4 linked regions of the Rhinolophus ferrumequinum genome follow. The protein of the gene in region 4 purifies or fractionates together with the protein of the main gene of each other region. This does not show direct contact. Links are inferred from orthologs where the notes say so. Each region holds a gene or a part of one and is shown on either strand. Other genes may lie near its edges. The genes, in order: PRPF6, CD2BP2, TSSC4 and EAPP.

Region 1 (6,979 bases), on a different chromosome or scaffold from region 4:
GTGAAGGGCAGTAACTAGTTTTACCTTCTTTCTTTTCTTCTTTCATCCATCCTTTTGTCCAGAGCTGCATAAATAGCATCTGCTTCCTCGTCGTCTTTTTCGTAGGGCCCACTTGAGAAGAGGCTCCCAGCATAGCCGTTAAACTAAGAACCAAACAACATATTTGGAGGATCAGCTTCTCTTCCAACTTAATCCCCACCAGGAGAAACAGAGAACACTACCAGTTGCAAAATGCTTGCTAAACAATATTTTTCAATCAGATAAACCCAAACCGAGGAGTAACAAAATAACTGACCAGTACTCTTCAAAAGTGTCAGGAGGAACTATCCCGACTGGAGGAGCCCAAGGAAACACAACTACATGCACAATGGAAGCCGGTGGTAGGCCTGGGGCCTGACGGAGGCTACAGATGGAAAAACCAGTGGGGTTCAAACAATACACTAGACTAATTAAGAGTGCTGTGTTAATTTCCTGTTTCAGTAATTGTATTAAGGCCATGTAAGATGGGGAGAAACTTGTGAAGGGTATGCAGAAATTCTCCATGTTATTTTTGCAAATTCCCTGTAAATTTAAAATTATTTCAGAAGTAAAGTATTCAAATCTTTTCCTCTGAGAAAAATGCCATCTGTTAGAACATATCTGAAGAAAACTTCAATTGACCAAACACCAATTAACTAAGAGAGTAAGCACTAAAGCAAAGGAAAGCAAACATTATCACCAATTCCATTTAAATTTTCATTGGCCAGGATAAAATGCCAATGCAGTGGTTCTCAGTAAACGTCTTCTGAAGAGAAAACAAAAGTGTACGTTTCTTTGTACTCTTCCTACTCCCCTCTCACACTCTGCTAGGGAGACACCCTGAAGGTGTCTCAGGGAGACATTTCCTGAGCTGAAACAGGAAATGGGCCAGCCAGGCCAAGCCACTCATCACAGATGCCACCGTGTTAAGAAGCTGGCCGGCCTTCTGCAGGCTGGCCGGGGAGCCCAGCACAGGTCACCTCGTCATAGTTGGTGTCGTTCAGATCCTCGTCGTCGTCGTCTGCAGCCTGGCTTTTCTTCATCTGGTCCCCTACGGTCCTCTTGCCTGGAGGTGCATGGCGGTCATCCACGGGATCATTGGCATCCCGGGCGGGCCCAATGTCTGACCGGGTGGTGAAGCCAGTGGCGCTGCAAGAGACCCCAAGATACTCCTTGATCTGGGTGACCCTGTTCCTGTGTTCTTCCCTCCACTGCTGTCACTTAACACCTCTGGGAAATCTCCAAAGGTCCTGGTGGAGTGAGATACGCGTGGCCATGCTCTCAAACACTCCCAGTCTGCTCTCTTCAAACAGGAAACCTCCTGCCCCCCCCAAGGGATCACTAAGGCCATCTTGTCCCCATATTCTCCTTGAGACTTGTCAGGGCATCAGCCCTCCCCCAAAGTCCCAGTTTCCCATTTCCAACAGCTTCCCCATCCAAGCAGGCCCTCACACCCAACCTGACCCAGTCAGAGCTCCTCTTCTGTGCCTGCCCTGCAGCTGCTTGGGGCTGTCTCCACAGACGACGGCAGTGCTGCCCAGGGCACCTAGGCAGACACCTGGCTTGCCTCCCTCTCCCTCCCACCTGCCACGGAGCTGTACTGTCTTCCTCCAAATCCCTGGTCCCAGGCCTCGGAACCAAGCTGGCCTCCCTGTACCGAGTCTCCCTCTGCTGGAGCGCAGGCCTGAGGGACCACCTCTGCAATGCCCACAGGAGCTCTGCTCCCTGCACATCCCAGCCCCATGGACTCCCTGCTATCCCCTCATCTCCCTCCATGCCTCATCTTTTTTCCTAACTGCGCGACACACAAAACATCGGTTTCTCCTATAACCTGCTACATGTCTACATCCCTAAATGCATCTTGCCTTCTAAACTTAGCTTAAATGCTAGCACTGCATCGAGCATTCCCTGATCACTGGAACCCCAATCCTAAATCTGTTCCTCTTTATGTACTTACTTATGCATATACCTCACCTCGCCTAGCAGAGTGCAGGTCCCCTGAAGATGGTGCCACTATCTGACACTTCTGTGTCCTCCACAGATTCTAACATACGGTACCATCCTCGACAAGAGAAACCCAGTAGTCTTCCTAATCAGATGACTAACCAAACAGGATGAAAATGACTGCTCATTTACTCAACAATTTACGGTCGCAGTCTGTGTGACAGGCAGGGAGGACTCTGTCACAAGCCTCAAAGATGCCATCCCTGCTCCCGGGAGCTGAGAGTTTGAACAAACAGTATGTGACCAACGACTCTACAGGGAAAGAATGTGGCGCGATGAGCGGCCACAGAGGAATCGCGCCGGGGTTCCCGGGAACTGCGTAAGGCGGGGCTGGGGGTGGGTGCGCGTCTGCCGGGCCCGCGGAGAGGAGCCGCCGCGTTCCCACGGTAGACACGTCAGGAACTGAGCTGCTGCTCACGGCAGATCTGCGAAACGGTGTTGTCACCCATCTTAGACACCAAAAGGGGCTCAGAGCCAAGGCGTAGCTAAACGCAGTCACCCCGCTCCTAGGTAACTGGCGGGACTCGCTCGGGTCTGTCCTAACCCCAAGAACGATTCTTCCTACAAAGCTTAAAGCAAGCAACCCGCCTTTGTCCCTTCTCGTCTCCCCGTCGCCGTGGGGGGTTAGGACAGACCGGCCCTGTGCCCCTTCCCCAAGGGCGCGCCCGCCGGGACCCGGGCCCCGGGGCCCAGGGCCGCGCCGCGCGCCCCGGGGCTCACCCTCGGCCCAGCCCCGGCACGTAGCCGAGCGGCGCGGGCATGCCCAGGAACGGCTTCTTCTTCTTGTTCATGGCGCAGGTGACGACAAGGGCCGGGAAGGGAAAGGACGGAGACCGCGGCGGGAGGCAAAACACCACAGACGTCCGAGGTTTCACTGCAGGAAGAGGTCGCGCGCCCCGCGTCACCCGCGCCCCGGAAGCAGAGCGCCAGGTCGGCACGAAGCTCCGGCCGCCTCGGATTCCACGGGCGGAAGTTCCGGAAACGCGGCTGGGCGACTTCCGGCCGCGGCTGAGGGACGGAGATGCGGCAGGTGCGTGAGCGAGAGCGCCCCCTTGTGGCGAGGAGGGCCGGCGGACAGCCCCGCCGGAGGTCCAGGGGCGACGCCTTTCTGGACAAACCTCCAGGGACCTGGAAACTGAGCCTGGGCACCCTTGCTTACTGCGTGTTCTCGATGCATTCCAAGGAGACCTGCCTGTACCAGTAGGACCCGTGGGTCCCCTCCCTCTCTGAGCCAGCCCAGCTGCCAGGGAGCCCTAGGATTGAGCCCTAGCTACCCACCCTGCCCTTCAGAGTCGCCCTGGCCCCGGGGCAGGCCATAACACATCTGAGGGGTGCTGCACAGCTATCCAGTTGTGTAGAGCTTGTGCGGAGTGTATGTGTCACGACTGTGAGCACACCTGTTTGTGTGTGCTCCTGTGTACAGACTGCTTGCTGCCTTGGCTCTCAGGACTCGGATTCCTGAGCTCCAATTCCAGCACAGGTCCCCACTCACAGTCCCATAATACCCTGAAGGTTCAAGTGAGGGCAAGAGCCCACCTGTTGAGCTAATTAATGGAAATAAATAAATGCGGCGGGTATATGTCGGGAGAGTCAGTATATGGGCGTGGGCGATCACAGAATTTGGGTGAATTCCATGCCAATCTCTACTTGTGGGTGTCATGGGCATGCCTGACTGTACTCTGCATACATTTCTGGGTGGCCACGTGCACCTTAGCACACTCCGCTATGGGACATCCTCTGGCCCCCACACATACCTGGGAGAGCACTCAGGCTCCTGGCAGAGCAGGCAAAACTCAGGTCCCAAGTCTGGCCTTGTGCTGGCCCAGACAGCCCCAGCCCACCCTAGCTCTTCTCACTGGCGTCCTGCAGCAAACACATCCCTCCTGCCTGCTGCAGCCTCCTTGGGGTTGCTCCTCCCTGTCCCCAGCCAAGCCCCTTTCAGAGCCACATCTTGGGCACTGAATCCGATTCTGGGGCTACAGAAGGAAAGGGAGAGACGCTGGCTGTCCTCCTAGAGTTCAGTGTGATGAGATAAGAGAGAGTCAAACTGACTTCTCTGGGGAAGCAAGTGCCCATTTGAGGGAGAGACCTCTGGAGAGGTCTGGAGAATGTGAATTAAAGGAGAAAACTAAGGTAGAAAAATGGAGGGAAGTGGTTTGAAGGGATGGGTCTAATCCTTGACCTGGGCCCCAGGGGGCAGAAGGTCCCAGGATGGGTAGGAGGCCCTCCACCACACACACACACACACACACACACACACACGCGGAATGTGTCCTTACTTCCCTGCTTCAGAGGGCCCTGCAGACGCCTGGACCCCTAAAGGTGCCCAGTCACTCGTCCTTGGAGCCATGCCCAGGTGCGCAGGGACGCCCCTTGCCCTGGCAGACACTCTGCATACGCAGACCCGCGCGCCGCCGACACACCTCGGAGCTCCCGGAGCGCGCCCAGCTCTCAGGGCTCAGCGGCAGGTGCCTCGCCGCGCAGACTCGCCGGGCGCGGGGACCGGCTCCGGCGCGGGGCCGGCTGGGGCGGGGCGGTGGCGCGCGTTCCCCGCCGGCCACTCGGGCCGCCCTGCGCCCGGCGAGGGGCGTGTGCACGGGCCCGGGCCCCGCGGGCCCCATGTTCACGGAGCTGAGGACCAAGCTGAGCCCCCCGCGAGGCCGCGCCGGGGCTGTGCGCGCCGGCTTCGGGGAGCGCCGGGATGTGGACGGTGAGCCGGGCTGAATCCGGGCGCAGGGATATCGTGGGCTGGGGGCTTGGGAACCGAGAGGGACGGGGGCGGGACCTGGCGGACTTGAGCGGCGGCAGTGGACAGAGAGGGGGGCGCGTCCTGACGGATCTGGGGTCTCTTGTGTCTTTGTGCTGCGCTGGGGGCGAGGTGGGGCGGCCTTAGGCCTTGGGGATCAGCGCACCCTTGGCTTGGGGGAGGTCACCGGCCGGGGCTTCTGTCCCCAGGCCCGCACTACCGTGCGGTCACCTTTTTTTTCCGCGCGCGGAGAAAACCCTCCCAGCCTTTGCGTTGGAGCGAAGAAGGGGCTGGGGCCACAGCCGGGATCGTGCGCCCCCACCCCATTTTCTACGGGAATTATGACGTTGGGGCTGGGAGGGAGGGAGGGAAGGACGGATGTACCCACAGAGATCCCTCCCCCCAGCGCGGGCAGGAAATGGGCGGGTCCCGTTGACCCGGGACAGGTGAGACGCCCACGGAGGTGTCCGACTGGTTTACCCAGGCCGGGCCCTGGCGAGGCGAGGCAAGGCGATGCGACCCAGGGCCTGTCCCCTGAAAGGTCTCGGCTTTAATTCTTTTCCCACGGTACTAGAAGCCACCTCGAGGCATCGTCCACACTCTCAGTCTGACCCTAGACCTCAAATTTACAGGCACCTGTGGTTATTTGGTAGTGGAAAGTTGCAGGAATGGGGTGGAAGGAGGGGAGCAAGATGTGGGTTTCCCCCATTACTGAGACCTAGGCACAGGGCCAAATCCTGCCCGAGGGGTGGGGGGCTGTGTCCGTGGGAAGGAAGGTCTCCCTGCTGAGTGAGGACCTGGATGCTGTAAAGATGCACATCACACAGAACCTTCGTCCATCCGTTCATTCATCACAACACTTCTGGGCACCTCCTTTGCACCAGGACCTGTGCAAGGTCTTGGGAGGGGCAGTGAACAGGCGACTGCTCCTCCCCCACTCAGGTCAGCAGCCAGCCCAGAAATGATGATAAAACCAAAGTGTTGACGAGTGTAATGAAGTTGGTACGGGAAGAGAGCTCCAGGTGTCACTAGGGGTCCCTGAGCACATGGCTGCAGCCTATGGGCCTGTGCTGAGCGGCCCATGGCGGCTGCAGACCCACCATGCACAGCAGTCACCCTGGGTTGGCGACCCTGTGGGAGGTGGGGGAGCAGGAATCCCAGGTCCTGGCTTGCCCAGAGTTTAGGCTTCTTGTCCATGAGTCACAACCAGTGAGCACAGCTGGGCAGGGCCAAACCTCACGTGGCAGGGATGTCTGCAGAGATGGCACAATCCGTGGCGATGGGCCCGCAGTGCACCCAGGGGGTCTCCTCACCATACCTCCCAGGACACCGGTCCTCACGGGCCTCCCAGGACACCGGTCCAATGTTTCCTCGTAGGAAGGGCCTGTGTGTGCACCCTCGTTAGGTGTGGCATGTGCCAGCCCAAGGCAAGCATGAGGTGAGGGCTGTCCCAGAAGAGCCCTACCCCTGGCTGTAAGTCTTAGGCTTCCCGGTGGGCGTCCGCTCTCTCTAAGAATCCATTTGGCTCCCCAGAACATGTACTGTGGACTTGGAGGGTACAGGTGTTCCAGTTCTTCAGCTTTGGGCTGGGTGGGGCCCTCAAGACAGCTCTCGATGCTTCCTTCTGCCTTTGGGAAAGTGGCTCCTTCTTCAGTGGAGGGGAGATGGGCTGAGTGACGAGGGGAGCCTCTGGCTGGGCCCCTGACCACTCTGACCAGGCACCCCTCCTCTGCAGCCACTGCCCACTTCAGCTTCTGCCGGACCCTCCTGGAGCACACGGTGTCCACCGAGAGCATCCCCTGCCACCTGCCTAGGACACCAGGCACCAGCCTCACATGGCATGACTCACGCAGTCAGAGGGCAGCAGGTGGCCGGCCAGTCAAGCTCCTGCAGCAGCCTGGCACAGAGACCCCCCAGGTACCCAGCCACCGTACCCATCTCAGCCCCGGCCATCCCCACCACCTCATTCTATCTGCTACCCCTCTCCCTCACAGGGCTGGCTGTACTCTGACCACTGTGGCCTGTACCACACGAGTCCCTCACTGGGTGGCCTGACGAGGCCTGTGGTCCTGTGGAGTCAGCAGGACGTCTGCAAGTGGCTCAAGAAGCACTGTCCCCACAACTACCTCGTCTACGTGGAGGCCTTCTCCCAGCACGCCATCACCGGTGCTGTGGGGCTGGGGGCTATGGGGCTGGGGGCACGGGGATCCC
Region 2 (7,359 bases), on a different chromosome or scaffold from region 4:
CAGAAAAGACCTAGTACCAAAAAACGTCTGGGAAGCGAGCCTACTGGCCTCTGACTCACTGTGTGCCCCTCCAATGACATGCTGCCCTACTCTGTGCCTAGTCGATGGGTGGCAGGATCAGGTGACCTTGTGCTAACACTGAGCCTGCATGTCACTTAAGGAGCCTGAGACAGTGGGAGCCAGTGAGTACTAGGCTTCCTGCTCACGCCCAACTGCTGTCCCAGCCCTTCGAGGCCTAAAACGCCCCTTCTGGAGTTCCGTTCTGTAGTGGCTGCCAGGACATGCTAACTGAGATCCTAAAAGCCAAAGACCTCAGAACAGCAACAGGAACCCCCAGAGGGTACCGGAGAATAGTATGTGCGTGAAGGGATTTTTAGGTGGTAAGCAGAGGCCAGGTGGGGAGGCCACAGGACACCTGACATCCTGGCTCTGCCTCTAGGATTGGTCAACGGTGAGATGGTTCAAGGGACCAGAAACTCCCACAGAAGAACTTCATGAGGAAACAGTCAAGGGCTGAAACAAGTCCAAAGGGGCTGTAGGGGATCCCTGGCTTCCGGCCATCAGCACAGCCGAGGCCTTAATACACAACTACAGGCTTTTATTGGGAAAGAAAACTGACTGAAAAGAGGCCCCCGATATCCTCATTGCCTGAGGCAGCTGGGGCCTCCTCCAGAGTCCATGAAAGAAGGGGCCCCCAAACTGGGCCCTCGGCAGGCTCAGGTATACAGATCAAAGTCAATACGCTTGGAGTTGTAGAACTGTCCACCAGGGGGGTCCAGCTTCCGGCAATACACACCATCCGGGAAGTAACCTTCGTTCACCCAGGTCTGCGGGGAGAGAGGGCAGAGCTGGTGGAGGACTGATGGGTGCGAGGGCAGAAAGGAGGCGAAAAGGGGTTTACCTGCATCTGGGTGCTGGTGAAGGGCCCGTACAGCTCAGCATCCCCCGTGTTCTCCCACTTATACTCCCACATCACGTCCTCCAGCCCGTCTCCGAGCGACTCTGCTTCTACAATCACAGGCAAAGCCGTGTGGGCCTCCAGCGCCATGCCCCTGCCCACAAGACCCCGCCTCTGCCCTTCAAGCTCACCTCTCTGGGCAGGGGACAGGGTCACCAGCTCCTCCTCTGCCACTTCTTCAGCAAACATGTCCAGAGAAGGTGGGGAGATGGAGTCAGGGGGTCCTTGGGTCTGGCACCCCAACCCCTTCAGACGCATGGCCAGCCGTTCCCTTGTCTCCTGATAGACACCAAGGTTGCCCCGAGCCACCATCTGGTCAGCCAACCCCGAGAGCCTGTCCAAGCGCTGGGGGGAAGAGGGCCGTCCGGGCCCCTTACTGCCCCCTTTGGCTCCTCCTCTGGCCCCCAGACGCCTCAGGGCCCCAGCCACTGTCTCTCTGGGCAGCAGCAGCTCCAGGAGGCCCTCCAGGAGTGCCTGGGCGCTCATGGGTGTCTGGCCCAAGTTATCCTCCTCGTCGGAGTCCGATGGTGGATGCTGGTCAGGTGGCCGCTCCTTGATCTTCACCTGTACCGTGAGAGAGAACACGGAGATTATTTCTGACAAACTGCCCGCAGAGCCCAAGCACCTGCCGCCTCCGGCCCGGCCCCGCCAGCCCCCGAGCCATACCCAGTCAATGTTGTCCAGCCAGCTGTCTCGGATCTGAGCTTCTCGGTTCAAGAAGTAGTTGCCGTCCGCATCAAAATGGCCTTCTTCCATCTCTTCCTGGAGATTGAAAGGTGTGATCCGCACACCTCCCTCACTGGGGAGTGTGGCCGCTTCCTGACCTGCACCCAACACAGGCATTTCACACTAAGCATGCGACGGTGACAGAAGGAGCCCTGGCCCACGTCCCAGAAGCCGGTTCGTTCCCGCAGCAGAATCAATGCTTCCGTAGACCTCACCTTCCACGTCCTCCGAGGCCAGGATGTCATATTTGCTGGACCCCTCCTCCTCGTCGTCCTCCTCATCGCTGTCCAAAGAGTGTTTGCCTTTGAAGCGGCTCCCAGGCCCTCCTGCCCCGGCCACAGGGTCCACGAGCTGTGAGCAGGAGCCAGCCGGTCGAGAGAGGCAGGTTACCTACCGGCTTAGTCCTCAAAATGCTCTAGGATCTGGACTCAAACTGACAATCTCCCAAACCCATTTCTCAGAGAAGACGGCGAAGCTAGTCCTTTCCTTTCTGCCCTTTTTGTATCCCACGCTTTTTCCCTCTTCGGGCTCCTCGTTTCTTTTCTCTCCCCCTCACTCCTCCCTACGACGCAGGAGTCTGGCCCCCTCACCTTCTTCTTGGGTACACTGATGTCATCCTCCTCATCCTCATTTCCCACGCCTTGAAAGGTCACCTTCCTCTTTGGCATGGCTGGACCGAGGGACCTGCCTCGAGCTGAGCTGAGAGAAAGGACGCAGAGTAAGGGAACCGGGCGAGGAGGAGGTTCGCCGCGAGAGGGCCCCAGCGCAGCAAACGTTTGTTTCCCCTGGTACAGAAATAGGGGCCGAAAGGGGCGTTGACAGGCAAGAGGCCCCGGAACCTGGTCTGGCATCCGACAGACTGGCTGCAGCCGAGCCGGAGAGGCGGGAGCCCCGAGCAGTTCCCCCACGTGACCACCCCCATCCCCAGCCCTGGCATCCCGGGCGCGACGCCGCTCCCCGGCTTAACACCCGCTGCTCCCCCACCGCCAGTTCCCTCGGAGCTCGTGAGGCTCGGGCGGACCCGGGATCTGGCGTCCTGGCCGCCCCGCTTCTCCCCGCGACGAACTCCCAATTCCGCGGGGTGACCCCCGACTGTGCCGGGCTCTGTGTACAAATGAGAGGCGCCAGAGCCCCAGGGACCCCAGCAGTGCCACCGGCGCGCGCTCACCTAGGGACCCCGGGAAGGTGGGGGAAGGCAAGGAGCGAAGCTTCCGCTAGGGCTGCATCCGGGGCACCGGGCCGCCATCACCCGGAAGAGAACTGCGGAAGGCGCCAGGAGGGCCGGAAGTGGCTTCAGTCTGGCGAGAGCGGGTGGGCGGAAGTCCGAGGAGCCGGGGAAGGCACACTCCCCCCGAGGAGTGACTCGAGCTGCGTGGGACGGAACGACGAGCAGAGGGCACTGGAGAATGCCTACACCCTGATGGGACGCGAGGGGTGGCCGGAAGTGGAGGGATGGCTCAGGATGGGACGCGAGGGTGGCCGGAAGTGGAGCGGTGGCTCACAGCCCTAGAAGCGCTGGGGAGAAAGTGGAGCGAATTCTATCTAATCGGGCGCCCGGGGTGTGGCGGACGGCAAGATCCGAGCAGGGCCAGTGGGTTCCCGCTCTGATTTCCCTTCCCAGGGTTGCGCCATCTTCCCCAGGGCTGGCCAAGGCTCTGCGCCCCTCACCATCTCAGTGGAAACCTGGCCTGCCCCCTCAGCGTCCAGCTGTCTGCGTTCTCCTGGTTCAAGGTGCAGCTTTGCGCTTCTCCCTGAGGGGAAGCCCGGCTCTCCTGATGGCCCGCCTGGAGGCCCCCGACCGCCCGTGGGGCGCTTTCCGAACCCAACTCCCTTCAGGACCCAAGGGGGGCCATTTACCATCACTCCCCGCCCCCCTCCCACCATCCCCTCGTTTCTGAGGTGGGAAGAGCCCTAACCGGAGAGGTGGCAGTGGCACCTATGCCCAGTACATGGGTCAGAAGCCCCGCGTGCCCGGATGTCAAGTAGGCCTGGAAAAGTGCAGCAGCGCCTCTCAAAGCCCCTGCCTTAGGCCCCTGCCGACAGGCAGAACTGTGGTGGGGATGTGGGAGCAGTGGGTCCCAGTGCTGTGGGGACACGCCCTCTAGCTCTTGAGGACACTGGGAGTCTGAATCCCACTAGGCTAAGGCTGTGCCCAGGAAGAGCCTACTGGAACCATCGGTCCCCAGGAAACGACGAACCAGCCCTCCGGTCTCCTGCCCCCGGTGTTTCCTCCCAGATTGGACTCCCATGAAACCGCAGTTTCTTCCATGGGTGGGTCCAGAACACACACTCCAGACTGAGAGGGCATCTCCCTAAAGGGTCTGAAATACCAGCTCCCAGTGCCACTGGTACATCCTCTGGGGACACTTGTACCAGGAGCACGAAGTACACCCCTGGGCCTCATTCCGTTGAACTGCCCGGTGGAGCTACAGACCCCTAGGCCTTTACCAACCTGACCCCTGGGGTAGACGGTGCAGAAGGGGGGCAGGCCTACAAGCTGGCAGCAGACAACGAGGAGCTGGGAGCCTGGCCGTGGACACTGGCTGGAGGCAGCTGGCTGCTCCCTGGAGGCCAAGTACTGGGAGCTGTGCCAGGCAGTGGGCCAAGACTGCCCAGCTCACCCCGAGGGCTGTGGCTTTCTAGCCCCCTTCTGTCCCCCCCCTCAGCTCCCAGGAGTTGCATGAGCAGTTTGGGAAGGACATCTGGGTGCTGCAGGTGATACGTAGAGGGCTTCAGGCCACTGACAATGGAGGCAGCAGATCCCAGAAAAGCTGGAGCAGGAGCTCAACAACTGTTGATGGGTGAAGTGGACCAAAGGCCGAGGGGTACCAACGGCCACGACCAGCTGACTGCTTCAATCGATTCTGGCTCAAAAGCCGCTTCCTGTATCCCTAGTTCTTACTCTAACGCCTTCGTCAAATAACAAGGCAGGAGACAGGCCCAGGTACAACAGCAGGATCTTTTCTGGTTTCTCAAAGCGCTGCGTCGGGTGGGGGCAGAGACAGAAGAGAATGTAAACATTGGGTTCCACCCCCGGGAGCTTAAGGGAAGACCCCTTTCCCAGAGAGGGGCTGGAAGGTTGGAAGGGAACAAGGTGAAAGGTGTGGGCCCTGGTGAGACAAAGCAGGGGAAGCCTGAGAATACAGAGGAAGGAGGAGGAACAGGAAGAAGAGCCAGGACTGCGGGACATTTCCTATTCCAGTGCATGTCCCATTAAATAAATCGGGAGTACAAGAACATTGCGGAAGAACCGAAGGACGGAAGACAGAGCGGACACCCCACCCTGGGCTGACCGGGTCCTCTGTTCGTCATTACAACCCCGAGATGTCCACGTTGAACAAGGAGGGCCTTGGGCCCCGGCCAGGAAGTGGAGACAAGCAGGACTGAAGAAGGGGAAAGAGGAACTCGGCTCCGCTTCATGAATGAGGGGAGCAAGTGGAGTGTAAGAATCTGAAAACTGCTGGCTCCCATCGCCAGGAGTCACCCCTGTGGTGACAGAAGGCCAATCAGGACAGTACCTGGGAAGGGACCCCACAGGGAACCGGGGCAGGAGTGACAAAGACCCCGGCTGGGCCTAACTGGAGGTGCGGGGCCCCAGATGTGTCACGGCTGCCCCAGGGAACGGAGCTGTCCCATGCCCCATGTTCTGACTGTCCTGGCTGTAGGATCAGCAGCTGGCAAGGGGACGGGGAACAAGCCACCTTCCCCAGAAAAGGACAGTCTGCCCAGGGGCCTGCTCTTGGCTGAGGGAAAAAGGGGGGCCATGCAGTCCAGCCCCGGGGCAGAGGTCAGAAGTAAGTGTCCTGGCGGGCCTCAGATGAGGAGGCCCGGTCGCCACCATCCTGTGGGTCTGGGGGCCCGTCGGCCTTTCGACGCAGGGAAAGCTTCCTGCCTTGGCCCTTCTTCTGCTTCTCCTTCTCCTGCTTCTGCCGCTCCTTCTCCTGCTCTTTTTCCCACTTCTGCCGCTCCTTTTCCTGCTTTTCCCGCTCCTTCTCTTGTTTCTGCCGCTCCTTCTCACGCTCCTTCTCCTGTTTCTGCCGCTCCTTCTCCTGCCTCCGGGTCTCCTTGCTGGGACCCAGTGGCGTGCTGTTGCCAGTCGGAGAAGGAAGAGATGGATGCAGTCCCTCAGCGGTGATCACAGGCCCCGGGGCAGGCCCAACACTGGCCCTGCGGGCGGGAGGGGGCGGAGAGGGCACCCCCCCAGCTGCCCGGGAGCCTCGGCTCTTGAGGCCAGGGAGGCTGAGGAGGCTGGAGGAGGGGCCCAGGGGGGGCTGCTGTCGCCGGCGCTCCTCATGGATGGCCCGGGAACCGTGCAGTCGCCGGGAGGGCCGGTACTGCAGCTGCCCCCGGGTTTCCAGCCACTTCTTGAGCTGGGCGGTGTTCTCTCTCTCAATCAGTGCTTCTGTCACTGGCAGGTTCGTCACCTGGATGGAGAAGTGGGTGCCAGATGCAATGACGGTGCGGCTGGCCTGCAGCAGGCGAGGCTGAGTCACGGCCAGGGCTTACCTCATGCACCAGGAAGTCCTCCTGCATGCACTGCGGGGGCAGGCTGCGCAGCTGCTCCATGGTCTCGTACATGCCCTGGCAGGCGCGCAGCTTCTCCAGGGAGCCCAGCGTGTGCCGCAGCAGCACCAGGGCCACCCGGAAGATGATCTTGACGCCTGTGGCCGAGGAGACAGTGGGGAGATGGGGCCTGGGTCCCAGCCTTCGGTTAGGAGGCACTCCGCCCCACCCCGCCAACCTTAGGGGTGAGGGAACTAAGGCCCAGCAGGGAAATGAGCCGCCAGGGGCTTCAGGTTCCTGGCAGGGAGAACAGGCTCCGGGTTGGCCGCAGAGCCGAGACCAGGCCCACCAAGCACCTTGGGTCAGTGGGAGCCCGGCCCCCCTGGCCTGACAGGCTCGCACCTTCGCAGAAGAACATGTCCCAGACGCGCAGCACAGAGGCCCAGGGCAGCGTGCGGGCGAAGATGCACATGAACCACTCGGTCATGTAGAGCACGGGGTCGATACGCTGTCGCCGCAGGTGCCGGTGAGCCAGCGGGGACGCCCGGCGTAGCAGCGCGAAGAAAATTTCACCATCCAGCTGGATGGCCTCCTGGAGGTGGACGAGCCGTGAGGAGAGGCCCGCCGTGGCCCCCGTGGGGTCCGACCGATCGAGCAGGGGATCCTCACCTCAGTGGGAGAGCCCTGTGCAGAGGGACAGGGGCGGGGGGGGGACAAGGGCCTCCCTGTGCTTGGGGACAGTCACAGCCCCAGCGCCAAGCCGCCCCACACTCACCAGCCCTGCACTGTAGTAACCAGGGAGGTACTTGTCGCAGATCTGCACCAGGCACCAAAAGGCTTGCTGAGAAGGGCGAGAGTGGGAGGGATGATGGGGCCTGAGAATCGGGCAGAGGATGCCCCCCGCCAGCACCAGGCGTCCCCCCGGTCCCCCCCGCAACCCCCAGCCCGGGCCCCGGGGTGCTGACCTCAGCAGGCATGTGCATGAGCAGTACGGCGGCCACCGGGGCCTGGGCCTGGCAGTAGCCCTCGTCGGGCCGGTAGATGGTGTAAGCCTTCAGGATTCGGTACAGGTCCTGTTGCCTGTGAGTATGGGGGAGACCATGAGGCAACCACACGAGTTGGGGGCTCTGTGCCCCAAACTAAACCTGCCCCCACGCAGCTCCATGCAGACC
Region 3 (8,004 bases), on a different chromosome or scaffold from region 4:
GAGGCGCCCCCGCTGCTCAGTGTGGGGGAGGGGTCAGACTACGGGGTGCTCTTTGGCGCTCCTCCTGGGGCCAGCCTGGTAGGAAGGCCACAGAGGGCTTTCTGGAGGAGATGGCCTGGGGGCTGAGCTGGGGGTGGGGGTTGGGCCTGTCCCCCGGGGGCTGGCCCTCACTGAGTGTGACCACATCCGTCCCCAGATTGCCAAGGACGTGAAGCAGTTCTATGACCAGGCCTTGCAGCAGGCCGTGCTGGACGACGACGCTAACAATGCCAAGACTGTGGTGAAGACCTTCCACGAGACGGTGCGCTGGCCGGGGAGGCGGGGGCTGGGGGCCGCCTGAGGTGGGTGGCAGCCGGAGCCTGGCTGGTGCTGTCTGACCTCAGCCCAGACCTGGGGTCTGGCAGCTCTGCTCTCAAGGGCCGAGGGGCTTCCTGTGCCAGCCCTGGGGGGGCTTCTCTGGGACCTTTGGGTCCTTGTGGGAACCAGATAGACCAGGCCGGTGGGAGTGCAGCCTGGCTGAGCTGGAAGGAGGGAAGGAGGGGCCTTGGGCAACGTCCTTCCCGGAGGGGACATCCCAGCCCCCACCCGCACGCCAGAATGGGGAAGCCGTCGGGATGCATGTCCCTGGCCGTCTCCCCACACATGCGTGGGGCTGATCGTGGGCCCCCTGGGTCTCTGCAGCTCAGCTGCTGCGGCTCCAACACCCTGATCTCACTGGCCACGTCTCTGTACAAGAACAATCTGTGTCCCTCGGACAGCAACTTCATGAGCAGCGTGTTTAAGGTGTGTGGCAGTGGGTGCGGCGGGGCGCCCCAGGCGGGCTGGCCGGCTGTTCCCCACTTCTCTGCGTCCCTGCCCCCTGCGGGTCCCAGGTGTTGGGTGGGCCCCCAGGGGCACGTCAGGGACATGGCCACCATGGGTGGTGCTGTGGTCTGAGTCGGGTGCTCTGCCTGGGGGCTGTGTTCTACTGATGGCCCCCAGGGAAAGTGCGGGTTCCGATGGGGGAGTCTCAGTGTCCGGCAGCCAGTGGGCGTGGAGGGTGACCCCTTGGTCAGCATCCATCCTTGTGATGCTGAGTGGTCTCTGAGTAGAAGAGGGTGCACACAGCACATTTGTTTTGAACTGGATGTAAGATAAAACCCAGCAGAGACCCGGCCCTGTTCACGCCTCTTCTGAGGGCAGCCAGGGCTGTGCCCCTCCGTGCTCTTTCTGCAATGACCCCAGGCTGCTGCATTGCGGGGGGCCCGAGGACCAGCACCCCTGACCGCCCGCTGGCCATCCCCCACAGAAAGACTGCCACCAGAAGATTGATGAGCTCTTCTCGGGGAAGCTGTACCTCATCGGCATTGCGGCCATTGTGGTCGCTGTGATCATGGTGAGCAGGGGCAGCAGGCCGTCTACTCAGGCCCCGTGGGTCTCGGTGCTGGCTGGGGACTGACGGGGTCTCCGGGTGCTGACGGGGTCTCCGGGTGCTGACGGGGTCTCCGGGTGCTGACCGGGTCTCCGGGTGCTGACGGGGTCTCCGGGTGCTGACGGGGTCTCCGGGTGCTGACCGGGTCTCCGGGTGCTGACCGGGTCTCCGGGTGCTGACCGGGTCTCCGGGTGCTGACCGGGTCTCCGGGTGCTGACCGGGTCTCCGGGTGCTGACGGGGTCTCCGGGTGCTGACGGGGTCTCCGGGTGCTGACGGGGTCTCCGGGTGCTGACGGGGTCTCCGGGTGCTGACGGGGTCTCCGGGTACTGACCGGGTCTCCGGGTGCTGACCGGGTCTCCGGGTACTGACCGGGTCTCCGGGTGCTGACGGGGTCTCCGGGTGCTGACGGGGTCTCCGGGTACTGACCGGGTCTCCGGGTGCTGACCGGGTCTCCGGGTGCTGACGGGGTCTCCGGGTGCTGACGGGGTCTCCGGGTACTGACCGGGTCTCCGGGTGCTGACGGGGTCTCCGGGTGCTGATGGGGTCTCCGGGTACTGACCGGGTCTCCGGGTGCTGACGGGGTCTCCGGGTGCTGACGGGGTCTCCGGGTACTGACCGGGTCTCCGGGTGCTGACGGGGTCTCCGGGTACTGACCGGGTCTCCGGGTACTGACCGGGTCTCCGGGTACTGACCGGGTCTCCGGGTGCTGACCGGGTCTCCGGGTACTGACCGGGTCTCCGGGTGCTGACGGGGTCTCCGGGTGCTGACCGGGTCTCTGGGTGATGGCGGGTACTGTCGGGGTCTCCGGGTGCTGTCGGGGTCTCCGGGTGCTGACGGGGTCTCCGGGTGCTGACGGGGTCTCCGGGTGCTGACCGGGCCGCCTCCCACAGATCTTCGAGATGATCCTCAGCATGGTGCTCTGCTGTGGCATCCGGAACAGCCCTGTGTACTGAGGCTCCACCGCTCTGCCCGGCGGGACCCCTGCGGTGCCCCCAGAGCGACCTGGACACTTTGAGGAGGGTATATAACCGCCTGTGTATATAACTTTTCTGGTATTACTCTACTACACTTATTAGTCCTTTTACTTTTGAGGTTTTGTTTTTGTCCTGAAGTTCCCTGTTACCTTTTGGGGCTGACGTCACCTGTACGTGGCGTGTGAGTGGGCCTTGGGACTGCAGGACAATGGCCCCCTCTGCTTCTGAGGCCTCTTGGGGGACTCCGCCTATTCAACCAGGCCTCTCCAGGGGGCCGAGGGGGCCCCCCCACTCCAGCTGTGCCCTCCCTCCCACCCACCTGTCCCCATGGGTTGCACGGCTCACGCCTTTTTTAATCCGTGTTCCTCTCCTGCCACCTGTCTCTAGAGCTGGGTCTATGAGTGGCCTTATACTTTCAATGCATCTGTCCTTTCTAACACGTCACCTACGATTGTAATTACATCTTGAAATTCATTCAATAAAGAAGGAAAAACCAGGCATGCTAACAAACTGTCCAGCCCCTTCCTGTGCCCACAGCATCTGTCCCGGGGTGGCCCAAGGGACAGAAGACCCTCACACAGGTGGGGCTCAGCTCTGTGGACTTTGCCGGGCCCAGGTATGCTGCCCACCTTGTTGGGGTGTCCGGGGAGGACTCCATCCTCCAGGTGGCAAGTGCCCCTTTGTTGGGCCCTGTGCTGCCTACAGAAGCCTCCACCCAACCGCACTCCCAGCTCTCCTCCTCATGCATTGCTGCCAGGAGCGGGCAGGGCGGGTGGGGCGGCCAGGGACTGTGGTGTAGGGCATGCTTGAGGTGGGGGATCCCCTTCTGAGGGACAGCTCTGTAGAGGACAGATGCACTGCTCCCTCCCGAGTGTCTGAGGGTCCTCTCCTTGCCTGTGGAGAAGCTGGGTGGCTGTGGCCAAGTGGCATCCTGCAGGGGCTGGAGGGGAAGGTCTCAGCCACACCCAGGAGGGGCCACCTGGCCCACCACAGCTGTTCTTCCCATAGGGCATGGGCCTCACACAGGCACTGACCTGTGTGCACTTTATTGTTTTTTTTTATTGGGGAAGGGGAACAGGGCTTTATTGGGGAACAGTGTGCACTTCCAGGATGTTTTCCCAAGTTGTTGTCCTTTCAGTCTTAGTTGTGGAGGGAGCAGCTCAGCTCCAGGTCCAGTTGCCGTTTTCTAGTTGCAGGGGGCGCAGCCCAATATCCCTTGCGGGACTCGAGGAGTCACACTGGCAACCTTGTGGTTGAGAGCCCACTGGCCCATGTGGGAATCGAACCGGCAGCCTTCGGAGTTAGGAGCACGGAGCTCCAACCGCCGGAGCCACCGGGCGGCCCTGACCTGTGTGTACTTGAAATTGACCCCTTGAGGCCACGAGGCCTGGCTGGGGATTCGGGAAGGGCTTCCTGTGGCCTTCTTGGGGGCTGATTTTAGAAACGAACCCCAGCCCTGCTGCACTGAGGGTTGGGGTGTCATGGGGCCTCCGTGTGCCCCTCCACATCTTGTGCTAGGGCAGCTTGGTTGGGACAGTAAGACGGCCCACGGCGGCCCCTCCTCTCTCCTGGCCCCTATGCTCGAGGCCGCGGGGACATCCTAGCAGAGGGCTGGGTGTCACCTGCAAACTGGTTCCACTACAAAACCAGTGCTCGGGGTGGACCGGACCAGCACTTCCCCACGAGGCCACACGGGGACGTGGGGGCGCTTAGGAATGAGGTGTTGCGAGCTTGCACGGAAAAACAGGCTGTTTCTTCCTTGGTTTCCCGGGCCAGGCGGCAGGGCCTGCACACCGGATGCGCGGAGCACGCCAGGACACCAGGCCTGGGACAGGGACCGGGTGCAGCAGGCCAGCCGCTAGGGGCTGAGGCGCCGCGACCTTGTGGGGCACGAAGCGGCCCCAGAGGGAAAGGGAGCAGGGACACTTGGCCTGACCAGGGGAGACCGGGACCTGTCCTCCACTTCCCGGCAGCACTGACCAGTCTGGCCATCGGCCGGCGGGGCCAGGTCGCCACTCCCAAGTGGCCTGCCCCCCCCACCCCCACCCCTGCCCCCGCCCCGGCTGCCCTCCAGCCCTAACACACTCGGAGGTTGAGATGAGCGCTCAACCTGCGGTGCGCACGTCTCTCAGAACCAGAGGGGCGCGGCCGGCCGCTTCCGGCCAGGGCCGGAAGTGTCCGCGAACGGCGCCGCGTACGCCGCGCACTACGACGCACTTCCGGTTTGAGGGACCTCTCATCATGGCTTCCGGCTGCGCGCGATGGGGCCACGGGAACACGGCGCTGACCGTTAGCACTCGTGTATTCTGGGAGTCGCGGTTCGGCCTCTCCCTCCGCCCCCTTCCCCCGCCCGCCTCCTCTCAGTCGGTTCCGGGCTCTTCGCGAAAGAGCGCCGCCATTTCCGGGGAGTGGAGGCTGCGAAGAGAGCGCATGCGCAAGGACTACAAGTCCCGACAGGCCTCGGGAGTAGCGGCCCAGTACGTTTTAGGAGATGTAGTTTTTCAGGGGCGGAAGCCGCGGCACTCTGCCGGCGGGGTACTCAATTTCCCATAGGGTCGAGCGCGGCGCAAGATGGAGGCGATCGGGCCACAGTGAGCCGGTAGGTTGGTGGTGAGGGGATGGCGGCACAGGCCAGTCGGGGCCTACTGCCCCGAGCCCAGAGACCCCCGTGCCTCGAGGCCTGGCCCTTGGGACCCCGAGACTCGTGCGGTCCCCGGACCGTGGCCCAGCCAGGCCGGCTTGGTCCCCGAGACCCAGGCCCGACAGGGAGAGCCTGGTGCGCAGGCGGCGAGGCTCTGGGCACGCACAGTGCAGAAAGTGAAGACTGCTTCCCAGGAGGGAGAGAGAACCCACTTCCTGGGACTTGGCCTGCCTAGACCCCGGCCCTCTGACACCCCTGCCCGAGACCCAGCGCCACCCCCGCCTCGGCTCTGCGGCCACTGGGCTCCCGAAGTGCTCGGAGAACTCCGAAGAAACGGATGCCCGGATGCCTTCTCTGGGGGGCTCGGTCTCCCCGTCCCCCGCCCCCCGAGTGTCCCACTGATTCTGCTACTTCTCGCAGTCGCGGGAGCGTCCCCAGCGGTGCAGCGGACGGGAGTGCGAATTTGGGAAACAGGAGTCGGCTTGGAACTGCGGGGCCGGCTCTGTCGCCCCTTCGCGCTCCTGGAGGTAGTCCTTCGTTCAGGAATGGAGGGCTCGCCTTTGTTTGCCCCGGGACAGGGCCGTCAGAGCCCCTCCTGGCCTGTTCCTCGGTGGGTGCGTCAGCAGTGAGTCCCCCCCACCCTGCGGCGAGGGAGGCGCGGTGCGGGGGGAGGAGGCGGTGAATGGACGGCTGAGAGCAGGGCAGAAGCGTGAGGCTGGGCTGACCCCTGGGCCTGGACACACAGGCCGCGAGCTGCCTGGCCACACGTGGCCACCACACGGGTGTCAGCAGCGCTTCTCTGCTCAGCTGGGGAGGAAGCAGGGGGTGCGGGGAGGGCTGCGGGAGAAGAGACATGCCCCCCGAAGGTGCTCCTAGAGCCGCGGCGGCTTGCCTCTGCCCAGCGTGGCTGTGCGCGGTGATCACAGACGCTCCACTTGCCTGAGAGCTGGACCCTCAGATGCCGAGGACTTGGCTGCACAGCCCCCTGGGACTCCAGGGTATCGCCCAGCAAACGGGAACAAAGCTCCCCACATGCCAGGCAGGTGCCACGCGCCACGTAAGCAGCGGATAAGTGGTTGCACTCGGTTGTGAGTGGGAGTGTTGAGCGGGGGCCGCCCTTGGCCCTGGGTTCAAGGGCCACTGGCTGCTCACGACCGGAATCTTCCACCAGCAGTTCTCTTGGTCGCTCGAGTTGGGCTCCACTTGAGAGGATTGTTGGGACTGAAGGAGGTGACATGTCAAAAACACCTGCTCGCTGGCCTGGCCTGGCCCAGCCCGTGTCGGCGGCTCTGTAGACCCAGGCCCACTTCCGGGTCATGGCACCCCCCCACCCCGTCATGTTCGCCTTCTGGGCTGATGGTTGGCTCTCCCTTCTCTCTCTCTCAGCTACGCTTGAACAGCTGAACAGAGCTGTGCCTGGAGACCTTCTAGGCGGAGGCCACACCCACGCCTTTGCCACCTCTGCCAGCGGCTCCGTTCACCATCCCCTGCAGACAAGGAAGGTGAGGAGGATCGTTCGGGGGGAGAGGGACCCGGGGCAGTGGGTCTGCAGGCGAAACGTGTTTTAAACCCATGGTGTCCTCAGAAACCAACTTCATGGGCTGTTTTGGTCTAGGTGTGGTGTGGCCCAGGACACATGGCTGAGGCGGGGACTGGCGAGCCCTCCCCTGGCTTGGAGGTCGAGCAGGGCCCCGAGTATGATGATGTCCTGCCTTCTGATACCATCTCCCTCAGCGACTCGGACTCTGACCTCAGCCTGCCTGGCAGTGCTGAGCTGGAAGCTCTGTCCCCAGAGGGGCTGCCAGGGGAGGCCCAGGGGGACTCAGGCCCCGACGAGCCCCCCTCGCCCCCCAGGGCCCTCCCTACAGCCGCAGTGCAGCCGTTCCACCTGAGAGGCATGAGCTCCACCTTCTCGCAGCGCAGCCACAGTATCTTTGACTGCCTGGAGGGGGCAGCCGGGCGGGCGCCACCCTCTGTGGTCCACACTGGCCTAGGGGACCGTGGGGGCTTCAAGCGGCCCCTGGCGCCCTCACGCCAACCTCCAGCAGAAGGCCCAGGCAGGGCCAGTCAGAGCCCTGTCCCCCGGAGGGCGCCCCCCGTCCCCGACTATGTGACCCACCCTGAGCGCTGGACTAAGTACAGCCTGGAAGACGTGGCCGAGGCCAGTGAGCACAGCAATCAGGCTGCCGCCCTGGCCTTCCTGGGCTCCCGGAGCCTGGCCGCCCCCGGCCACTATGTGCCCTCCTTCAACCAGGACCCCTCCAGCTGTGGGGAGGGCAGAGTCGTCTTCACCAAACCGGCCCGCGCCGGCGAGGCCAGACCAGAGAGGAAGCGGGGTCTGAGAAAGGCAGGGGCGCCTGGTGGGGCTGAGGGGCCTGTGGAGCTGGCCCACCTGGCCAGGCCCGGGAGCCCAGAGGCCGAGGAGTGGAGCAGCCCGCGTGGGGGCGTGCAGGAGGTGGGCACGCCCGAGGGGGACACCCACACCGAGTCCGCAGCGGGCCCCCCAGGGGTGGACATTGTTGGCTTCCACGGCAGCAGGAAGCGCAGTAGAGACCACTTTCGGAACAAGAGCAGCAGCTCTGAGGTCCCTGGTGCTGAGGGGGCTGAGGGCTGACCCGAGAGCCTGCCTTGGACTTGAGGAGCCCCAACCCCTTGGGAAGGAAGCCGGTGGGCTGCCTGTCGGTGGCGCCAGCGGCCCTGGCTGGGGCTCAGGCAGTGGACTCGAGCAGAGACCTTGCTTGCCACTGATGGGCCCACTGGGTGCCCGTGGGGAACAGTAAAGCTTTTGGGTATTCCTCAGGCTCTGTGTCTCTGTGCAGACCCCACCTCCCCAGGACCCGTTGGCTGCAACCTTCTGTGCTCTCCAGCCTGCCCGGTCACCCGTTCCCACACTTGGGCCTACCCGACAATGTCGGTCGGGGGCTCGGAGAGGTTTTAAAGCTCCGCCTGCTCCCCTTGGTGGCAGAGCTTCCCATAG
Region 4 (7,385 bases):
TGGTCAACACTGGAAATAACCAGATGTCCTTCACTGAATGAATGGTTAAACGTGGACTACTACTCAGCAATAAAAAAGGAATGAACTATTGATACCTACAACGAAATCTCCAGAGAATTATGCTGAGTGCAAAAAGCCAATCCTAAAAGGTTACAGACTACATGATTCCACTTATATGTTTTTTGAAAATGACACAATTATAGAAATGGAGAACAGATTAGTGGTTACCAGAGGATAAGCAGGGCATGGGGGCAGGAAGTGGGGAATAGAAGGGATCCTTGTGGTGATGAAAATGTTCTGTATTGACTGTATTAGTGTCACTATCCCAGATGTGATATCGTACTAGTTTTGCAATATGTTAACACTGGGGGAAACCAAATAAAGGTGACACAGAATCTCTGAATTATTTCTTACAAGTGCATGTGAATCTACCTCAAAATAAAAAGTTTAATTTAAAAAAAAATTGAATGACAAGGCAAGAGAGTTTCGGAGATGCCTTTTTGCAAATTTTCTTCAAGCCTAGTGATTATTTCAAGAGAAGTCTCAGCATTTAGCACTGCTGGGTGAGGCAATACATCATGGTGCTGCAAATTCTTGTTGATATATCAAGAATGCAAGGTTCTCACCACTTTTTACCGAGGCCATTTTTCAGAATTGTGTTTGCTGTTAAAAAAAAAGAAGAAAAAAAAACAACAACAACAACAAAAAAAAAAACCTAGAGGGATGAAGTAATGTCCCTTTCCAGGACAAAGAGCAGGCTTATTTACTGCCTGCTATAAAAGAGGTGGATTCTTCAAGCTCAAGTGGTCCTCAGCCACAGTGCCAACTCACTGAATGTGCATCCATCTGGGTCTCTCACCATGTAACCCCTGTAGAAATTGGGACATAAGAGTAACCAGTAAGAACATAATGCTCATGTTGCCTGCTATGCTGTGAGTTGTCTGACCCAGGAATCTCAGATCTTCTGCCAGCTTCCATGAAACAGTAACAGGTATAAAATATTAGCTTACACCTGGGGTAAAACCAAATCCTGACAGACTCCTCTCAAGCACCTCTCTAAAACCAATCTCCCTTTTTAAAACAAGTATTGGATTCAGAGCCTTGAGCAGGCAATACTGTCTAATAATATTGTTTTGTTTTCATAGTATTTTTAATTACTTTACCAGAGGCAATTGTCACAAGATTATAAAGCTTCTTTTAAGAAATTAAACTACAAAAATGTAAACAACTTAAAGAAAAATATTAAATAAATAGTAACAGTTTTATATGGAGATGGCAATGGCAGAATAACTCAAATACAGGAAACACTGCTATATTCCAATCAAACTGAATTACTAATTGAGGCCTACATATACCTCCTTTCACAGACCTGACCCATTAACTGAAACTTTTTTCACAGGCCACCCTCATTCCCCACAACAGAAATCTTCACAGCAGTCTGAACTCCTATGCCTGCAACCCCTCCCCAGTATGTGAAGAAACATTGTGACTGAAGGTAGGACAGTTTTACAAAAAGTTCAGACCAAAAAGCTCAGTTGGACAGATGTTTTCAAGTTTATAAGTAGGATCTGCTGACAGCTTTAAAAAATGGCTAAATTTGCCTGGAAATCTCTTGCCAACGTATCTGCAAGTTTCCCCCAGGTAGGGTTAATCCCTTCTGGAAATTCCCACGGAATTTCATCTGTGCCTATCTCAGGTAATCGTTTTCCAAAATGCTCTTCCAAAATACATACTTATTTCCAAAATACATACCTTCTGAGATATAGAGAGGGTGCCAAAAAAAAAAATGTATACACATTTTAAGAAAGGAAAACTGTATTAAAATTATAATACTCAATATATACCGATAACCAAAGATGAATACAAGTCACGTTTGACTTCTGCAAGTACAAGAAATGGTTACCATCAGCGTCCAGACACTTCTGATTACGGCGAACTACTGCTTGAGCAACGCTGACCAAAGTGTCCACTTCTATACATTATTTGGGCACCCCCGGTATATATTATTTCCCCTACTATACTGTAAGATTTGTAGAAGGCAAAAATCTTATGATCGACCTGTGTAGCCCAGAGCAAGCATATACTCTCTCTGAAAATAAGACCTAGCGGGACAATCAGCTCTAATGCATCTTTTGGAGCAAAAATTAATATAAGACCGGGTCTTATACTGTACTGTACAGTATAAGACCCGGTCTTATATTATATTGTATAATACATTGTATAATATAAGACCCGGTCTTATATTATATTGTGTAATATAAGACCGGGCCTTATATTAATTTTTGCTCCAAAAGACGCATTAGAGCTGATTGTCCGGCTAGGTCTTATTTTCGGGGAAACATGGTAATAGATGCTCAAAAAAGTCTGTTAATCATTCCCTTATTTTCTGTTTATGGCATATTAGTCTTCAAGATGGTCACTTCCCATTAAGTCCCACGAGCCTTACACATACTTACGATACAGGTATTGTATTTCCTATTTTATAGATGAGAAACAAAGTAAGTGACTTGCCTTCGGTCACACTGCTAAGTAGGCTGAAGAGGCCAGGGCTCGACCTCAAAGCTTTTGAAGACTTACGCGCGATTCCAGAATAGCCCCCGCTTCCCGGCGCTGGTATTGGCCCTGCCTCCCCCGTGGCTGCAAGACCTCACCAGAACTCCCCTCGGCGTCCCACTGGCGACAGCGGGGCGCGACTGGTGCCGGAACCGCTGGGCCGAGGGTCCGCACAGGCCCAGCAGGCGCAGCGCAGAGAGGACGCGAAGGCCCGAAGAATAGAGAGCCTCGGAGGGCCAGGGACCCACCTGCTTAAAGCCGGCTCCTCGTCGCTAGGCTCTTCAACAGCGTAGGGGTCATAGTCATCTCCGAGCCGGTTCATGGTGGCCTCCACGCTCGGAAACCGTCTACAGGCGTTGGCCTAGAACCTGTTTACCCCGCAGGTCCCTCCCCTAAAGCGTTCCGGACTCCACTTCCGGCCGCACAGCCTCACCCTCCCTGCGCGCCTGCGCATATCGTCCCAGTGAGGTGGGGAGAGGAAGAGGGGAAAGGGGGAGGAGATGGATCTCAGTGTCCGGCCACCTCTCTCCTCGGCTTCCGCTTACGTGAAAACAGCTAGTTTATTACTAGAAATAGTAATAGGCACCCTCATAAGTGACGGTCTCTGAGGTGAACACTCCACGTACAGTGTCTCGTGTGGTGACGTGAAGAAGCAGAAATCTAGATGCTGAGGGACGTGCAGCCTGTAGGTCCTCAGACACTAGGACCCGATGTCCTTCCAACCTCCTCGCGGCGAGTCTTTCTACCTTCCCACCGCGCGCGGCTGCCTCGTATTCACACTATTCATTCCGCAGTCTGACTGCGGCTCTGACCGGCTTCCCAACAGTTGCTAGACTGTCACCAGTTACTTTACTTCCCAGTTGCCTTTTCTTGGCCTCTTCTCAGTCCCAACCTTTGCGCAGCCCTTATCCGATTCCACTCAATACTTGAGATGAGGTAGATGACGACCTCTTCTTGATTGTAACACCATTTCTCCCGTTTCTGTACCAGCCTATACTCAAGTTCCTGTCTCCTTCCAGGACAACTCACCCCTCTTCATGATTACATTCAGGTGACTACCGCGTCTTATTTTGGTCCTTGCCCTCTCCTCCATACTAATACGTCAGGTTTCCAATTGCCTGGCTGGATATCTCCGCCTGCGGCACCACTGGCAATCCAAAGTCAATATAGCTCAAACCCAACTCAGTATCTTACACCCCATTCCTATACCTCAGCTGCTTTTGACTCTTGATTTGTCACTTCCTTCATCCTTATAACTGGTACAGGCTGAAAGTCTTGGACTCTTGTTTGACTCCTTTCTCTGTCCCTCCATGAGCCCTCAATTCCCAAGTCCTGTTGATCTCTTAGCAACATCTCGCTCATCCACATTTTATCTCCCTACCCCTCACCTTGAGACTATTGATTGATCTGTGCTCCTAATTGACAGCCTTGTTTTGCTACTCTACTCGGCAGAGTGACCTTCCAGCACAGCTTTGCTCTGGATGATTGATTTCCTTCCCCAAAAAGTCCTACTATTTCCCCTTTACCTGCTGATCTGTTCACCTTATCCTGCAGTATTCTTGGCCCTCAACAATATGGTTCAATCCATCATGCCAAACTGATTTCCCTACACCTACCAGCACAATTTGCTGATTCCAGAATATGTGTTATCCCATCTACTACTGGCCTTTCCTTATGCTATTCCCTGGAGCACCCTCTCCTTTTAATTCCACCATCCAAACCCTACCTGTCGTTCAAGATACATCTGCAAGTAATGGATGGGTCAGTAACTAGACAGAATGACCCTTTAGGATACCTTTCAGCCATGAGATGCTATAGTTATGGGAACTCACATTGTACCTTTTCTATGATGCCTTTTCAGATTTTCCCTCTATATGGGATCTTGCTCTGCTTTGAAAACTCTTGTAGGATAATGTACCTCTCACATGCCATGTATTTCTCTGGTTTTCAACTATTGTTCCCCCCAACTCTTTTAAGAGGTAAAATACTCTCCCATGTGTCACATGATGTGAAGGAAATCCCTCTTGGGGAACCTGTTTTTTCCTTTTCTGGGAATTGTGGCCCTCCTCAGGGATATGCCCTTACATCCATGTTCATTCTGTTCCACAAAAGTTGGACCATTATTCACTTACTTACTTTGATAAACTTAAAAATGAAGAGTTAGAAATTTTTTTTAAGGTGTGGCTGTGGTCTTAGGATTTGTTACCGGAATAGTAAATTCAGGGGCTCAGGCTGACATTTTGGGGTGGCTGTTTGGGGGTTGTATGTGCTGATGGTGAGCAAGCAAATAAAAGCAGGAGTATGTAGCAAGCAGAGGTAAGCAGAGAGGCTCTCCCCAACAGCTTGTCTAAAACTAAAGGTCTCAATCCAACCCCTTCTCTCCATTCCATCTTCTCTATCCCTTAATCCATTTCCCCCGCTTCTACTTCACATAAGTTATTTGGTTGCTTACTTCCTGTCTACCTGTTCCATTTCTCTATTGCTGCACAAAAACACAACCTCCAAAATTTAAGAGCTTTGAAACAAAAACAATCATCTATTTTGATCACAAATCTGCAATTTTGGCAGGGATTACTCTGCTCCCTAATGTCTGGGGTCCCAGATTGGGACTGAAACCACTGGGGACTAGCTGAGCATCTCTCTTTCCATGTATCTTTCTCCACAAAGCCTTCAGCTTCCTCACAACATGACAGCTCCAGAGTAGTCAGTCTTCTTACAAGGTTCCCAGAGACCCAGATGGAAGCTGGAAGGCTTCTTCTGACCAAGCCCCAGAATTCCCTGAGCATCACATCTACCACATTCTATTGGTCAAGCCAGTCACTAAGTCCAGATTTCAGGTAAGAGATAGACTCCACCACTCATGGGCAGAATAGCAGAGATATAAAGGATATAGTTTACTGTCTAAAAAATGGTTTGGCTTACTGTCTAAAAACAAAATTAGAATTGAACAACTCAACACCAAAAAAAAAAAAACTTAATTAAAAAACAGGCAGAGGACATGGAGACATTTCTCTAAAGAGAACATATAGATGGCCAACACACATATGAAAAAAACGTTCAATTTTGTACACCTGAAACTAATAAAATTAAAAAACCTTGTAGCAATTTAAAAAAAAAAAGCTCAACATCACCAATCATCAGAGAAATGCAAATAAAAACCACAATGAGATACAACCTCACTCCAGTGAGAATGGCTAACATCAATAAATCAACAAATAAGTGTTGGCGAGGATATGGAGAAAAAGGAACCCTCATGCACTGCTGGAGGGATTGCAAATTGGTGCAACCACAATGGAAAACAGTATGGAGGTACCTCAAAAAATTGAAAATGGAACTACCTTATGACCCAGCAATTCCACTCCTGGGTATCTATTCAAATAAATCCAAAACACTAATTCGAAAAAAATATACGCACCCCTATGTTTATTGCAGTGCTATTCACAATAGCCAAGATATGAAAACAACCAAAATGCCCATTGATAAGACTGGATAAAGAAACTGTGGCACATTTATACAATGGAGTATTGCTCGCCCATAAAAAGGAATGGAATCTTACCATTTGCAACAACATGGATAGACCTAGAGAATATTATGCTAAGCAAAATAAGTCAGACTGAGAAAGACAAATACTATCTGACATCACTTATATGTGGAATTTAAAGAACAGAATAAACGAACAAACAAAACAGAAATAGACTCAGAGATATAGGGGGAAAAAAACTGATGGCTACTAGATGGGAGGGGGAGTACATGGGGGAGAAGGTGAAAGGATTAGAAAGTACAAATTAGTAGTCACGGTATAATCACGGGGATATGAAATACAGTGTGGAGAATATAATCAATAATGTAAAGATTATGTGGGGTGCCAGATGGGCACTGGACTTATCAGGGAGATCACTTCATGGACTGTGTAGATGCTAGATGCCTGACCACTGTGCTATACACCTGAAGCTGAAATTGAATAATATTGAATGTCCACTATAATTAAATATACATTATATATATATAGTCATGGGATGTGGAGTACAGCGTAGGTCATATAGCTATATACGATGTCAGAGAGTATTCGATTGTCGGGGGTTATCATTTTGTGAGGGGTGTAAATGTCTATTATATTGCTTTGTACACCTGAAACTAATAAAAAAGAAACTGAGTTTACAGTTTGAAAGGAATCACTAAATAGCAGATAGAAATATTGAAAAAAAATTAAGGCCTTGCATCGTATGTTAAATGCACAGTGCTGCTCTAAAATAGGAATTGGCAAAGGATGGTCTGTGCGCCAAATCAGGCCCACCACCTGCTTTTGCAAATAAAGCTTTATTGCAGTACACACAAAAACATTTTTTTAAATTATAATTGAACAGATTAAATGGACTATTATGAAATAGACTACAAAACATAATAGTGTATTTACAATTTTCTTCAGGTGTTTTAAAATATATACTTTCTATTGCTATTATATACTTCTCGATCACTGCAAAATTTGCAGTGGATGAAGTTCATACTTTGCCCTGGTTTTATGTCTTCCAGGTTGAAATCTTGACTTTTTCCCCCTTTAGGTTTGACTAGGTTTAGTTGTTGTATATGTTGAACCCGTTCACCTCTTTGAAGTAGTTTAAGACAGACTTACTTAAAAAGATACCAGGAAAAAACGATCCCTATTAAGTAGGTAGGGGAAATCTTAACTTCAAAGTTTAATGGAGGTTAGGAAAGATCCTCATAATAATGGTGTCTAGTGAGGGAGGATGAGTTCCTACAGGATGGCGGAAACAAAAAAAGCTGAAACATCCTTTTTACTAAAAGGAAAGTGAGACCAACCCCAGGGCGCAACG

What was found.
Region 1: the proteins of EAPP (region 4) and PRPF6 purify together in Homo sapiens (affinity purification with mass spectrometry; 3 studies listed by BioGRID and IntAct, with this or other methods). This does not show direct contact. The link is inferred for Rhinolophus ferrumequinum from reciprocal best matches to the Homo sapiens genes EAPP and PRPF6.
Region 2: the proteins of EAPP (region 4) and CD2BP2 purify together in Homo sapiens (affinity purification with mass spectrometry; 3 studies listed by BioGRID and IntAct, counting the BioPlex papers as one, with this or other methods). This does not show direct contact. The link is inferred for Rhinolophus ferrumequinum from reciprocal best matches to the Homo sapiens genes EAPP and CD2BP2.
Region 3: the proteins of EAPP (region 4) and TSSC4 purify together in Homo sapiens (affinity purification with mass spectrometry; 3 studies listed by BioGRID and IntAct, counting the BioPlex papers as one, with this or other methods). This does not show direct contact. The link is inferred for Rhinolophus ferrumequinum from reciprocal best matches to the Homo sapiens genes EAPP and TSSC4.

The regions. Positions count from the first base shown.
Region 1 is NC_046306.1:203,016-209,994, forward strand, and holds the start of PRPF6 (pre-mRNA-processing factor 6), read right to left. Parts: upstream 3,005-6,979; 5' UTR 2,814-3,004; coding exon 2,743-2,813; intron 1,168-2,742; coding exon 999-1,167; intron 144-998; coding exon 25-143; intron 1-24. Other genes in the region: SAMD10 (sterile alpha motif domain-containing protein 10), read left to right, coding at 4,234-4,732, 6,504-6,685, 6,763-6,934. UniProt on the Homo sapiens protein: Involved in pre-mRNA splicing as component of the U4/U6-U5 tri-snRNP complex, one of the building blocks of the spliceosome.
Region 2 is NW_022680357.1:763,893-771,251, reverse strand, and holds the start of CD2BP2 (CD2 antigen cytoplasmic tail-binding protein 2), read right to left. Parts: upstream 3,011-7,359; 5' UTR 2,853-3,010; intron 2,693-2,852; exon of another isoform or gene 2,669-2,692; intron 2,384-2,668; 5' UTR 2,353-2,383; coding exon 2,275-2,352; intron 2,036-2,274; coding exon 1,900-2,035; intron 1,783-1,899; coding exon 1,625-1,782; intron 1,523-1,624; coding exon 1,090-1,522; intron 1,009-1,089; coding exon 902-1,008; intron 828-901; coding exon 717-827; 3' UTR 1-716. Other genes in the region: TBC1D10B (TBC1 domain family member 10B), read right to left, coding at 5,473-6,108, 6,191-6,345, 6,590-6,779, 6,963-7,028, 7,153-7,267. UniProt on the Homo sapiens protein: Involved in pre-mRNA splicing as component of the U5 snRNP complex that is involved in spliceosome assembly.
Region 3 is NC_046294.1:1,585,718-1,593,721, forward strand, and holds TSSC4 (protein TSSC4), read left to right. Parts: upstream 1-4,991; 5' UTR 4,992-5,364; coding exon 5,365-5,554; exon of another isoform or gene 5,555-5,637; intron 5,638-5,652; exon of another isoform or gene 5,653-6,059; coding exon of another isoform or gene 6,060-6,066; intron 6,067-6,413; coding exon 6,414-6,529; intron 6,530-6,642; coding exon 6,643-7,641; 3' UTR 7,642-7,833; downstream 7,834-8,004. Other genes in the region: CD81 antigen, read left to right, coding at 197-301, 682-783, 1,289-1,375, 2,303-2,365. UniProt on the Homo sapiens protein: Protein associated with the U5 snRNP, during its maturation and its post-splicing recycling and which is required for spliceosomal tri-snRNP complex assembly in the nucleus.
Region 4 is NC_046289.1:82,863,594-82,870,978, forward strand, and holds the start of EAPP (E2F-associated phosphoprotein), read right to left. Parts: upstream 3,003-7,385; 5' UTR 2,876-3,002; coding exon 2,802-2,875; intron 1-2,801. UniProt on the Homo sapiens protein: May play an important role in the fine-tuning of both major E2F1 activities, the regulation of the cell-cycle and the induction of apoptosis. Promotes S-phase entry, and inhibits p14(ARP) expression.